Linked DNA regions of Rattus norvegicus. The protein of the gene in region 1 interacts with the protein of each later gene in a pairwise test. Links are inferred from orthologs where the notes say so. Each region holds a gene or a part of one and is shown on either strand. Other genes may lie near its edges. The genes, in order: Rap1b, Ralgdsl2 and Ralgds.

Region 1 (3,644 bases):
TTAGGCCCTACACTAGCTTTACTGGGTCAAAAGTTATGTAGCAATTCCTACCGTAATTCTGATACAAGATCAAAGAATCTTAAGAATCAATGCCACAGGTAATAGGGAATTAAAGCCATCTTTCTGAAATGTATAGATTTCAGACTCTATTATGCTTCATTCTGCAGGGACCCCTAAATCAATGTTTTAGAGTTGAACATATTGGCTCTTTTCCTTTAACATTATGTTCCTTTTTCAATAGAGACATAATATAGACATATGGTCAGAGATAAATGTGGCTAGATATTCCTTTAAAAGGCTGTGTCCATCGACCCAGCACTCGGGAGAAGGCAGGAGGCCTGCTCCAAGTTCAAGGCCAGCCTGGACTATAGGGAGAGTCCGTTAAGTCTACCGTGAATGTAGCCACACACAGCCTGCTCTATTAATATCTCTCTCCCACATCCTTGCTGCATCTCCACAAATGCATGGTCTAAAAATAGGCAATACAAAGCTAGGAGGTAGTAGTTCTAGTATCCGGAGATCAGACAGGATATCTCGCCTGAGCAACAAACACTTAGACTATTTAAAAAAAAATAGGAAAAAAAAAGGCAAGTTGGATGTTGGTCATAGACACCTTTAATCCCAGCGCTTGGAGGACTGAGGCAGGCAAATCTCTCAATTCAAGGCCAGTCTGGTCTACAGAGTGAGTTCTAGGATAGCCAGGGCTACACCAAGAAACTCTTGTCTCAAAAAACCAATTAAGCTGAGTGAATATTTAAATTTTAAAATGGAATATTAACTAGAGGTTTGGAATAAATCTAAGTATTCATTGTGGAGTCTGCTTACATCGTCAGTGTCTTTAACCCGAAGAATCTGCTCTCTTAGATCCTGTAAGTCATTAAATGTCGACTGTGCTGTGATGGAGTAAACCAACGCAAAGCCTTGTCCGTTCTTCATGTACAGATCTCTCATGGCTGTAAACTGCTCCTGTAGTAGGAAGAGTGAAAGACTTGTTTTCATACCAAGTTAGATCATTGAAAACCTACACTAACGGCCTAATGAAGAATACTGTAGCATCACCAAACACTTCTTACAGCTATTTTTTTCTACAGGTCTTCACTAGGGTGTGGGCATTTGTGGAGAAGAACTGTGTATGGCATTTTTGTACCCGGAATCCTTCCCTTACTTTTGGATACTTACAAACCTAATTGGTTGTTATGGTCTCAATGACTGAGTAGCCCCAAAGGCTTCAAAATTTAACCCTCATTCTGAGGTATCCAGAGGGCAGAAAGTAATCCCATGGATGTAGCATGTGAGGTCTTTGGGAAGCAAAAAGTTGTTAGGTGAAACGGCTTCTTATACGAGGGGAGAGACACAGGTATGTATGTTCCTATGTCTTGCCATTTGTTATGAACTATCTTGGGGTTCTGTCAGGAACAAAGCCTCACGAGATTCAGTTCTTAGACCTTGCACCTCCAGAAAAACCAAAACAAACCTATATTTACAAAGTTAGTTGGCTACAGGCATTTCATTACAGAATTGATAGTTACTTCAAAGTTCTTCCCAGGATAGCTACCAAACATAACAATTTCATAATAGCCATCAAAGAATAAATGTGCACCCAAACATTATCAACATTATCTGAAATATGTAATAGACGGTCTTAAATGAACTAGTACCACCACAGACCATGAAAATCTCCACTCTAGCATTTAAACAATCTTTGTTACTGATATACTGCATTTAGAAAGTGCAACATTTAAAAACCTTATGTATGTACTATACACTGCATATCTTTGATAATTTTATTTTACATACCGTTCCTGCAGTATCCAGGATTTCAAGCATACACTGCTGTGCATCTACTTCAACTTGCTGAAGAAAAAATAATTAAAATATTCCTTTATTTTTAATGCATGTAAAACTACTTTAAAATATCCACAACAATAAAGAGCACAACAGAAAAGAAGTTATGGGAACTCCGTTACAGGGCAATACCAAACAGTACTTAAAGACTACTCAGTCACCACAGCAGTTCTTAGTAAGAACCGCCCAGTTTATGGCTCCCACTTGTGCTGCTGTCTGGGAGGGCTGGGGCGGTGAGATGAGTGCAGCGCTGAGGACCAGCTTGCTCTCTGCTTTGCTCTGTTCTGCATGCTGCTATGACAGTGGCCTGCTGTCATGATGGACTGTAACCCATGGAACAGTAGGCCCAAATAAATGCTTCCTTCCTTTAATTTCCTTGTTCATAGTGTTTTATCACAGCAATAGAAAAGCAACCAATGCAGTCATCCAACTTCAAAGCACCCCAAATTCTAGTGAGATACCAACTCCAAGTCCCAATAAGTCACGAAGATTCAGCCACAATGAGACTGGCTCAACACTAATTTTGGAATAGAAATGGCTTCAAAACAGGTAAGTAGGAAAACAAGAGTTGTAACAGTGCAGCGTGACTTTGCCCACTAGCTCTCCTCTAGCACTCTGGATATGCCTTTATTTCCCTAGACATCTACTGTCTCATCATACTGGAACACAAATTTCTGGAGGCAAGGAAGCAGTGTCAGAATTATGAAATGAAGTACATACCCGTGTTATCCCTTCTAACATTTTCTAGGAATGAAATTTATTTCGAATTAGATACAGAAGGAAACGACTACTTCTGCTTTACAGCTAGGTTGTAGGAAAGAGTTTCCAGTTTTGTGGTAGGCAAGTGGTAAAATGGAAATGCTGATCTTCACAATGGAGGGCCAGGTGCTTCAGAAAGGTAGAGGGACAACTCTCACACTGTTAAATTTAAAATGTCTACACACTGTTTTATTAACATGTGCTGTGTTAGCAAACACCAGGACTCACTTTTTTTGCGGTAGCAGTCTTAAGGAGGCATTAAGTAGCAAGGAAGGGAAGCCCACTGGAGGCCGCCTCCAGAAGAGTAAGAGAGCCGAGGCTTTGTCTCTCCAGCGACTGAAGCGAGGCCTGGGAATATGGGACTGCTGTGTTAAGTGACACTGTGAAGTCACAGTTCTGAGGTCAGAATAAACTTAGAAGGTCTATGCACTCATGTGTATAAATGCTTATGAATCGCTGACAGTAGTAGGCAGGCAATGACAAGAAATAGCACATGAATTTTCTACTAGCAAACATCTTTTCATTTTAATTTATATAAAACATTTGATAATTGAAAACTAAAAATAAATCTAAACATTTGTATTAAAATCAAAAGGCCTTTAAAAAGTAACATACCTTTCTATAAGAATCTTCTATCGTAGGATCATATTTTTCAACAAAAATTCCTTGAACAAACTGTACAGTCTGGAAAAAAATTAAAATAGCATTACATTCCAAAAGGAAGAGCAAATCTGAGTCTGTAAACTCTACCTATCTGATGTTTTGAGACAGGGTCTCACCATGATCTCGGGCTAATCTGGAACTCAATGATATATACAGCACACTGGTCTCTCCTACCTGAGTGTTGGATTATAGCCCCGCACCACTATGCCCAGCTTAAATCTGTAGATAAGGATGCATAGCATTAGGTGGCCATTTAAAATGACCAAATAAGATGGTTTATCTTATTAACAGTAAAGTGAAAGTCAATCTACGTTTGTTTTGAAACACAGTCCCATGTAGCCCAGGCAGGCTGTTAACTGGATCTCGCTTCAGCCTCA
Region 2 (4,194 bases), on another chromosome or scaffold:
AGGCACGTGGCAGAGGTACGTGGATTTCTGATTTCCATGCCAGCCTGGTCTACAATAAGGAGTTTCAGGTCAGTCAGGGTGTCGTAGCAGGGCTTTGTTGAGAGAACCAAATACAAGAACATATATTCACAGGTCAAGAAGAACCACTGGGGGTTGAGTGGTAGAGCGCTTGCTTAGCAAGCGCAAGGCCCTGGGTTCCGTCCTCACCTGGGGGGGGGGGGGGACGGGACACTACTGTATGCCCTAGAGAGGCGGTTCTTAGCCTGTAGGTCATGACCCCTTTAAGTCCATCGGGAATACCAGACATTTATTTACATTAGGATTCACAACAGTAGCAAAATCAGTTTCGAAGTAACAAAAGAATTTTACAACTAGAGGAACGGTGTTATAGGACTGTAACATTAGGAAGGTTGAGAACCACTGCCCAGGGAATTGACGATAGGGCCACATAGCATCTTAGCGTTCTAGGGACCTTTGGGACAACCCACAACAGTAGTCTAGAGACGAAGGGGTACATGTGTCGCCTATGGAGTACTAATGCCTACCTCTCCAGCCGTCCATTCGTACCACAGAGTTTCCTTTGCCTCGTCCTTTCACGAGCGTCCCCCGTGCAGTCCACCGGCTGTACTTAAAGGATGGCTGTCCACTCCTGTCTGCCGGGCCTCGTGAGCCAATAAAGTCTTTTAGAGTTTTCATGAGGGTCTCTCGTTCTCTGGTTTCCAAGCACAGCCAACATCTTGGTCCCCCTCCAGTCTTCCCACACGCGGGGCGATGACACAGCCATCTTAGGAACTGAGTGCGCTCTGGCGCACCGCGAGAGCCGGAGGCCGGGAGCGACGGACCAGAGTAAAACCGGAAGTGGCGCACTAGCCGACTTCCGTCCCCCTCCCCGCGCGAGTGGGCGGGCTTAAGGGCGGCTCAGAAAACTCGGCGCGGATTTGCTCCGCTGCACTCGTGCTGGCGCGGGTGGTGTCATTCTGGGGCCCCAGTAACGGGGTCGCGCCCTCACTAGGGCGCTTCCCTCGGGAGTTGCTGCACTCACTGCTCTCGTTAGAGAAAGTGATTTAAAATCCCGTACTTGCCCTCCCGTGGAGGCTTGAGACAGGACCCTGACCTCCCGCCTGCCTGTGCTGGGAGGCATGGGCTTCGGAATCCCCGAGTAGGGTAGTAGGGGACAGTGGAGTGGGGCACCTGGAGACTGCGTCCCAGCCCCTGGCATCCAGCACTCCCCTAGTCGGTAGCCCTGGCTCCTGTCCTCACTTCCTTCCCTTTTTGGCTCCTGCTGTCGGGCGGACGCGGGGAGGGGGGAAGCGGAAAGGGCGGGAGGGCCCGGGAGCCCGGCGGGGTGCAGGAGGGGGCATCGCGGAAAAGCCAGGGAGGGGACTCGGTAGAGGGCCAGAGACCGACAAGAACAGAGGCCCGGGACCCGCGCGCAGCCCCTCACCCTTCCCGAGCAGGTCAGAGCCGGAGCACCGGGTGACCCTGCCCATTCCGCAGTAGTTATGCCCCTAACCCCTAGCACGCCCCGAGGGCTCGGGTTTCCCTACTCCTGTATCTCCCCTCCCCCCCAGCCTTCCTGAGGGACTCCCACCCAGGTCCCTTCGTGCCCAAGTCCCCACGCCCGTCTGACTCCACCCCAATCCCACCCGTCTCTCCCCAGGCACCCCCAATGGCCCGACCCCGCTGATTCCTTCTCTCGGCCATGCTCCCGCGGCCCCTGCGGCTGCTTTTGGACACGAACCCCCCCGGGGGAGTCGTGTTGAGCAGCTTCCGGAGCCGGGACCCCGAAGAGGGTGGGGACCCAGGTGGCCGGGCCGTGGGCGGGGGGCAGGAGGAAGAGGAGGAGGAAGAAGAAGAGGTGAGACGCGGGTGGCGGGAGGAAAGGCATTAAGTATTTCTGAGACTCTTCTCTTGGTGTTTCTGGGTCCCTCGGTCTCTTCCTCCCTGCCTCCCTTTCACCCCGCCACGCTCTTTCTCTGGATATCTGTCCCCTGGCTGCGGGTCCTGGTGTCTCTGAAGTTCGCCCTGTCCGTCTGACTCGGAACCCGCCCGCAGGAACCTGCCGAGTTCCTGCCTGGAATGTCTGGCTGGCAGGCAGGATGGCTGTGCCTGCGGGGCTCAGGCCCCCTCTGCCCACACCTGCCTCTGACGGCTGCCACTGGGCAGTTAGTTGTGTCTTGGTCCCTGTCTCCCTCCTCGTTTTTGTTTGGCTGGGAGGGGTTTGTTTCCACAGTAACCGGCTCCTCAGACTCTAGGATTGGGGAGGGAAGCCTCTGGCTTCACCGCCTCTTCCCCCACCCCCTGGTGCTCAATAAAGGGCAGCGAGCCAAGAGGTTCTGGCACCTGGAGAGATGATCCCAGGATAGGTAGAGCGTGGTCATCTTCGTCCTTAGGGATTAGTAGTTGTGACTGTAGCTGCAGGATTTAGGGTTTCAGGAGGGTTCAGAAGTTAGAATCGGAGCCTGAGGACTCAGACTTCTGGGCCCCGACATTGGTAAAGTTAGGGTGACTGGCAAGGCTGGTTTTTCGGGATCGGTCGGGGGAGGGGCTAGGGCCACATGACTCTTAGTCTACCGCCCCCACCCCCCCATCATCCCTACTTCCCCTTCTTGTAACTGGGATTGGAGCCGCCACCTTCAGGGGGTCCCCAGTGCTGAGATTGAGTGGAAGCTGTATTGGGGATCCGGGGAAGGGAGTCTGCGGAATTTGGGCTCCTCTGGTTCAGTCAGGGAGGGCGGGTCTTGTGAAGTTTCAGCTTCAGGTCTCTCCGCCTTTGGCTTTGCGCTTCTTCGGGCGCTCTGCTTGTGACTTTGCACCCCGCTTTTCTGCTGTGTTGGGCTCAGCTGTGGGGGCAAGGGGATTTGGGGGCGACCAGAAGTGGGGTTCCTGCATTCAATTGAAACCCCGACTCCAACCTCTTCAACGGAGCTCTGAGGTGGCTAGTGGGGCTGTCTGAGCCCCAGGGTGGGGTAGACCTGGGGTCACCAGTACCCTCTACCCCTCGAACTCGCTGGTATTGTCCCCTGCCATCGCAGGTGAGGGGTGCAGAGGGAGGAGCAGGGCCTGGGGACGATGGCTGGGGACTGGAGGTGCTGTGGAACTCACTTCCTCTTCTTGCTCCTCCAGGCTTCTGTGTCAATCTGGGATGAGGAGGAGGATGGTGCGACCTTTACTGTCACAAGCCGCCAGTATAGGCCTCTTGATCCCTCGGTGAGATCATAAGCTTTGCGGTCCTGACATTCAGTTTTTAATTTGATTTTTTTTTTTTTTTTTTTGGCCAGAGCACTAGATTGGAGGTCTGGTAGCACTCTTGTGTGATTTAAGCCATGTCTGAACTCTGAACTGTGGAGAAAAAAAAAAAAAAAAAACTAGATCTGGACTATCCTAGATGATGTTTAGCAGTAAGATTGAGGAGACCATCAGTGAGACACCCTCCATGTTCTCCAGGCCCCCTTGCCTCCGCCTCGCTCCTCCCGAAGGCTCCGTGCTGGTACTCTGGAGGCCCTGGTCAGACACCTCTTGGATGCCAGGACATCAGGGGCTGACATGACGTTCACTCCAGCCTTGCTGGCCACCCACCGGGCCTTCACCTCCACTCCTGCCCTGTTTGGGCTTGTGGCTGACAGGTCAGGAGCCAAGGGTGAGGAGGCTCCTGGATTCCCTCTGAGTAACTCTCAGCACCCGGGTGGGGGCTGAAAAAGCTGCAAGGTAGACTCTCTCCTCCTTCCCAGGCTGGAAGCCCTCGAATCGCATCCTCCGGGCGAGCTAGAGAGGACCACAGGGTGAGTGGCCCTGTCTGAACCGCAGTCTGCTCAGAGGGAGCTGAGGCTGGACCTCTGACCCCTGGCTGGTTCCCCTTCTCTCAGGGTAGCCATCTCTGTACTTTCAACCTGGCTGGCCTCTCACCCTGAGGATTTTGGCTCTGAGGTCAAGGGTCAACTTGACCGGCTTGAGAGCTTCTTGCTTCGGACAGGGTATGCAGCACGGGAGGGTGTTGTGGGGGGCAGTGCTGACCTCATCCGAAACCTCCGGGCCCGGGTGGACCCCCGGGCCCCCGACCTTCCTAAGCCCCTGGCCCTTCCTGACGATTCCCCTGCTGACCCCACGGATGTCCTGGTGTTCCTCGCTGACCACTTGGCCGAACAGCTGACCCTGCTTGATGCGGTGAGACCTTGACCTTTGACCCCACGTACT
Region 3 (3,644 bases), on another chromosome or scaffold:
ATATGGCTGCATCCTTCCCTACTCCAGTGAGGACGGCGGACCACAGGACCAACTCAAAAAGTAAGTAGGCTTTTAGTCCAGAGGGGAGGTTTGGGGAACAAGGGCTGAGCAAACTATAGGCCCCACACATCTGGTTCCTGCTGCTGGGCTGAGGTCTAAGGCTCTTCCTGTATCCGAAGGAAGATAGAATTCAGGGTGATACTGCACTTTCAAGGAGCTGAGTAGAGGGGTGTGTGTGTGTGTGTGTGTGTGTGTGTGTGTGTGTGTGTGTGTGTGTGTGTGTGTGTAAGAGAGAGAGAGACAGACAGGCAGGCAGACAGACAGAGAGAGAGAGAGAGAGAGAGAGAGAGAGAGAGAAGCAGTCACTGTGAAAATCCTTCCCTTGTATAGCCTATCTCAATAGACATGCAGCCTCACTCCTTAGGAATGGGCGCTTAGCTGGTCCCCGTGTCCCTCAGAAAAATGCAACCCACACCCAGCTCAAAAAGAATAGGTGCTGAGGTAACCCTCGCCGCTGGGTGAATGGCAGACTAGAGGACAGACCCTTGAGGCATCTGTGTTCCATCAGGAGTGGGGACGGTTCCCTAAAGAACCAGGAGAGCCCCCCATTCCATTGATGAGCCTTCGCTCTCTCCTGTAGGATCCTCTGTAGCCTCTGTCTAGTTACGTGGGTGGGGGCACATCAGGGTGCTGTGGGAGGATGGGAGGAGAAACCATGCCTCTGACTCTGTTGCCTGTCCCCAGTGCCATCTCTTCCATCCTGGGCACCTGGCTGGACCAATACTCCGAGGACTTCTGTCAACCCCCGGACTTTCCCTGCCTCAAGCAGCTGGTGGCTTATGTGCAGCTCAACATGCCTGGCTCAGACCTGGAGCGCCGTGCTCACCTTCTCCTGGCCCAGCTGGAGGACCTGGAGCCCAGTGAGGTTGAGCCTGAGGGTGAGGAGCCAGGGGTAGCTACACAGAACCTGCTAGGAGGGGTCAGTAATTGTTTCTACCACAGAGAGGCTCCAACCACTGGGCCAGGAGCAAGAGCCAGCCTGGGACCCACCCAGTGGGTAGTATACCATAGTCTGGGGTAGCCTCTTGTTGTGGGAACAGGGCTTTGTTCTCTGGCAGTTGGTGATTCTCTGTCTTGAAAATGCTCTGGACAAGGCTGCCATAGTGGACATCTTCTCTCCTGCAGCCCTGTCCCCAGCTCCAGTGCTGTCTCTGAAACCAGCTTCACAGCTAGAACCAGCTCCCGCCCTGCTTCTGACGCCCAGCCGAGCTGTGGCATCCACTCCAGTCCGAGAGCCAGCCCCGGTGCCAGTACTGGCATCCAGCCCGGTGGTGGCGCCAGCCTCTGAGCTAGAACCAGCTCTGGAGCCGCCCCTAGACCCTGAGCCAACCCTCGCACCTGCTCCAGAGCTGGACCCCACTGTCTCACAGAGCCTCCACCTCGAGCCCGCTCCCGTGCCCGCTCCTGCATTAGAGCCTTCCTGGCCTCTGCCTGAAACCACGGAGAACGGACTGTGTGCAAAGCCTCACCTACTGCTGTTCCCTCCAGACTTGGTGGCTGAACAGTTTACGCTGATGGACGCAGTGAGTGGCTCACGGGGGCGGGGCGGGGCAGGCCTCCTTTTGTCCTCTGCTGTCTAGACCTGTTTTCTGGTTCAGAGCCTCTGTCCCAGGGCAAGTCCTAGCTCCACTCTTAACAAACATGTGATTAGGGCATTCTACTTAACCCAAAGCATTGATTTCCCACCCCCATGGTGGTCATGAAGAGTGTGTGTGTGTGTGTGTGTGTGTGTGTGTGTGCGCGCGTGTGTGCATGAGTGCGTGTGTGTGTGTGTGTGTGTGTGTGTGTGTACACGTGTGTGGGGGTGCGTGTGTGCATGAGTGCGTGTGTGTGTGGGGGTGCGTGCGTGACTGCGTGTTGCATGCTGGCCTCTTAGGGATGGAGGAGTGCTTGCTGAGGTGTGCCTGGGCCACCCTCCTCCATTCCACCCCTAACCTCAGCATTGTGAAGTGCTTGCCGTGCACGGGAGACCGGGACACAGGGCAGGCTGTGACGTGCCCACTGGGGAGGGGCAGCAGATGCTCTCTGAGATGAGAGGCAGGAGCCACTGCTGTGTGTATGTTTCTTCTCCCCTTCATTTTTCCTACTTTGCCTTGCATTGGGTGCCCTCAGAAGTCAGGTGGAGGGGCGAGAGTCGCACAGGCTCAGACGCATCCTCACTCTTAAGTGCTGCAGCCTTTGCCTTGGGCTGTGCAGGGCCCAGTGACACTGATCCCCTCCCTAGGAGCTATTCAAGAAAGTTGTGCCCTACCACTGCCTGGGCTCCATCTGGTCCCAGCGGGACAAGAAGGGCAAGGAGCACCTCGCGCCCACCATCCGTGCCACTGTCGCCCAGTTCAACAACGTGGCCAACTGTGTCATCACCACCTGCCTTGGGGACCAGAGTATGAAAGCTTCGGACAGGGCCCGGGTGGTGGAACACTGGATCGAGGTGGCCAGGGTAGGCTATAGGGGGGTCCTGGGGACCTCAGGGCCACACAGCTGGCATGCACTCTCCTGGAACTGTACACTTGGGTGCTGTGTGAGCGTGTGTCCCTGGCATGCCCTCTGGGAGCTTCCTGCCATTAAGGAAGTTCGTCCATGGGCTCCACTCACAGACTCCTTGTCCCCAGGAGTGCAGGGTGCTCAAGAATTTCTCCTCCCTCTACGCCATCCTCTCTGCCCTACAGAGCAATGCCATCCACCGCCTAAAGAAGACATGGGAAGAGGTCTCCAGGTAGGCCTCCCCGTCCCCAACCCCTACTGTACCCCAAGCTGTCTCTGCCTTCAGTGAGGCCCAGCAGCAAAGATGGAGGGATGGGCCCACTGGTAGGCACAGCTCAGTGTGCACACCCTGATTAGAGCCAGGCAAGTGTCTCGTGCTTGCACACAGCCACAGAGCTGTCCAGCTAAAAGCAAAACACAGTTTTGCATACTCAGGTGGTCTTCAGTGGAACCACGTTTAGGATTCTTCTCCAGCAGCTCAGAATCTTTGCTGTACGGGAAAACGGGCTCCCCACCGTTTTGCCCTGGTACGCACCATGCTTGCCCTGGTGCACGCTCTTCCCAACCATTGCCTTCACTCTGTGCCTCCTCCAGGGGCAGCTTTCGAGTGTTCCAGAAACTGTCAGAAATCTTCTCTGATGAGAACAACTACTCCTTGAGCAGAGAGCTGCTCATCAAGGTGAGGTGGCAGCCACAGTGTCGGGGAAGGGGAGCAGGCAGGAAATGGCAGGGTTTCAGTTCCTCACTGCAAGCTTTTGGCTGACTTCCAGTCCTGTCAGGACTGGACAGGAGGGGAGGATGGCTTTGTTCCTTGGACAGGTGGCAGGCATTTGGTGGAACGGTAGGCCTCTGGTAATCTGATGTAGTGGGGACAGCCAGCCAGGCTGCTGCGGGAAGATGAAGCAGCCGGATTAGCAGGTCTGCAGCTTCCTGCTGGGCCTTAGCCACTGGCAGACCAATGGCCGATGGAAGAGGGGGCAACTTCCCTGAGCCAGCCCGTTCTGTCTCTGTGGTGCCAGGCTTGTCCCAGGGGAGAGGCTACCTGGGACGGGGGTCATCCTCCATTCCAAACATCTAGTCCCAAGGTGCAGCTATGCTTG

The links.
Region 2: the proteins of Rap1b (region 1) and Ralgdsl2 interact in a two-hybrid assay, tested with the Homo sapiens proteins (2 studies listed by BioGRID and IntAct). The link is inferred for Rattus norvegicus from reciprocal best matches to the Homo sapiens genes RAP1B and RGL2.
Region 3: the proteins of Rap1b (region 1) and Ralgds interact in binary tests that used the Homo sapiens proteins (3 or more experiments, as listed by UniProt). The link is inferred for Rattus norvegicus from reciprocal best matches to the Homo sapiens genes RAP1B and RALGDS.

Annotation. Positions count from the first base shown.
Region 1 is NC_086025.1:55,314,631-55,318,274, forward strand, and holds part of Rap1b (ras-related protein Rap-1b precursor), read right to left. Parts: intron 3,289-3,644; coding exon 3,220-3,288; intron 1,855-3,219; coding exon 1,798-1,854; intron 967-1,797; coding exon 826-966; intron 1-825. UniProt on the Homo sapiens protein: GTP-binding protein that possesses intrinsic GTPase activity. Contributes to the polarizing activity of KRIT1 and CDH5 in the establishment and maintenance of correct endothelial cell polarity and vascular lumen.
Region 2 is NC_086038.1:4,955,322-4,959,515, reverse strand, and holds the start of Ralgdsl2 (ral guanine nucleotide dissociation stimulator-like 2), read left to right. Parts: upstream 1-1,380; 5' UTR 1,381-1,457; intron 1,458-1,660; 5' UTR 1,661-1,702; coding exon 1,703-1,858; intron 1,859-2,901; exon of another isoform or gene 2,902-3,035; intron 3,036-3,126; coding exon 3,127-3,210; intron 3,211-3,447; coding exon 3,448-3,626; intron 3,627-3,731; coding exon 3,732-3,782; intron 3,783-3,866; coding exon 3,867-4,164; intron 4,165-4,194. UniProt on the Homo sapiens protein: Probable guanine nucleotide exchange factor. Putative effector of Ras and/or Rap. Associates with the GTP-bound form of Rap 1A and H-Ras in vitro.
Region 3 is NC_086021.1:32,267,450-32,271,093, forward strand, and holds part of Ralgds (ral guanine nucleotide dissociation stimulator), read left to right. Parts: coding exon 1-60; intron 61-744; coding exon 745-938; intron 939-1,185; coding exon 1,186-1,583; intron 1,584-2,284; coding exon 2,285-2,500; intron 2,501-2,672; coding exon 2,673-2,776; intron 2,777-3,138; coding exon 3,139-3,223; intron 3,224-3,644. UniProt on the Homo sapiens protein: Functions as a guanine nucleotide exchange factor (GEF) activating either RalA or RalB GTPases and plays an important role in intracellular transport. Interacts and acts as an effector molecule for R-Ras, H-Ras, K-Ras, and Rap.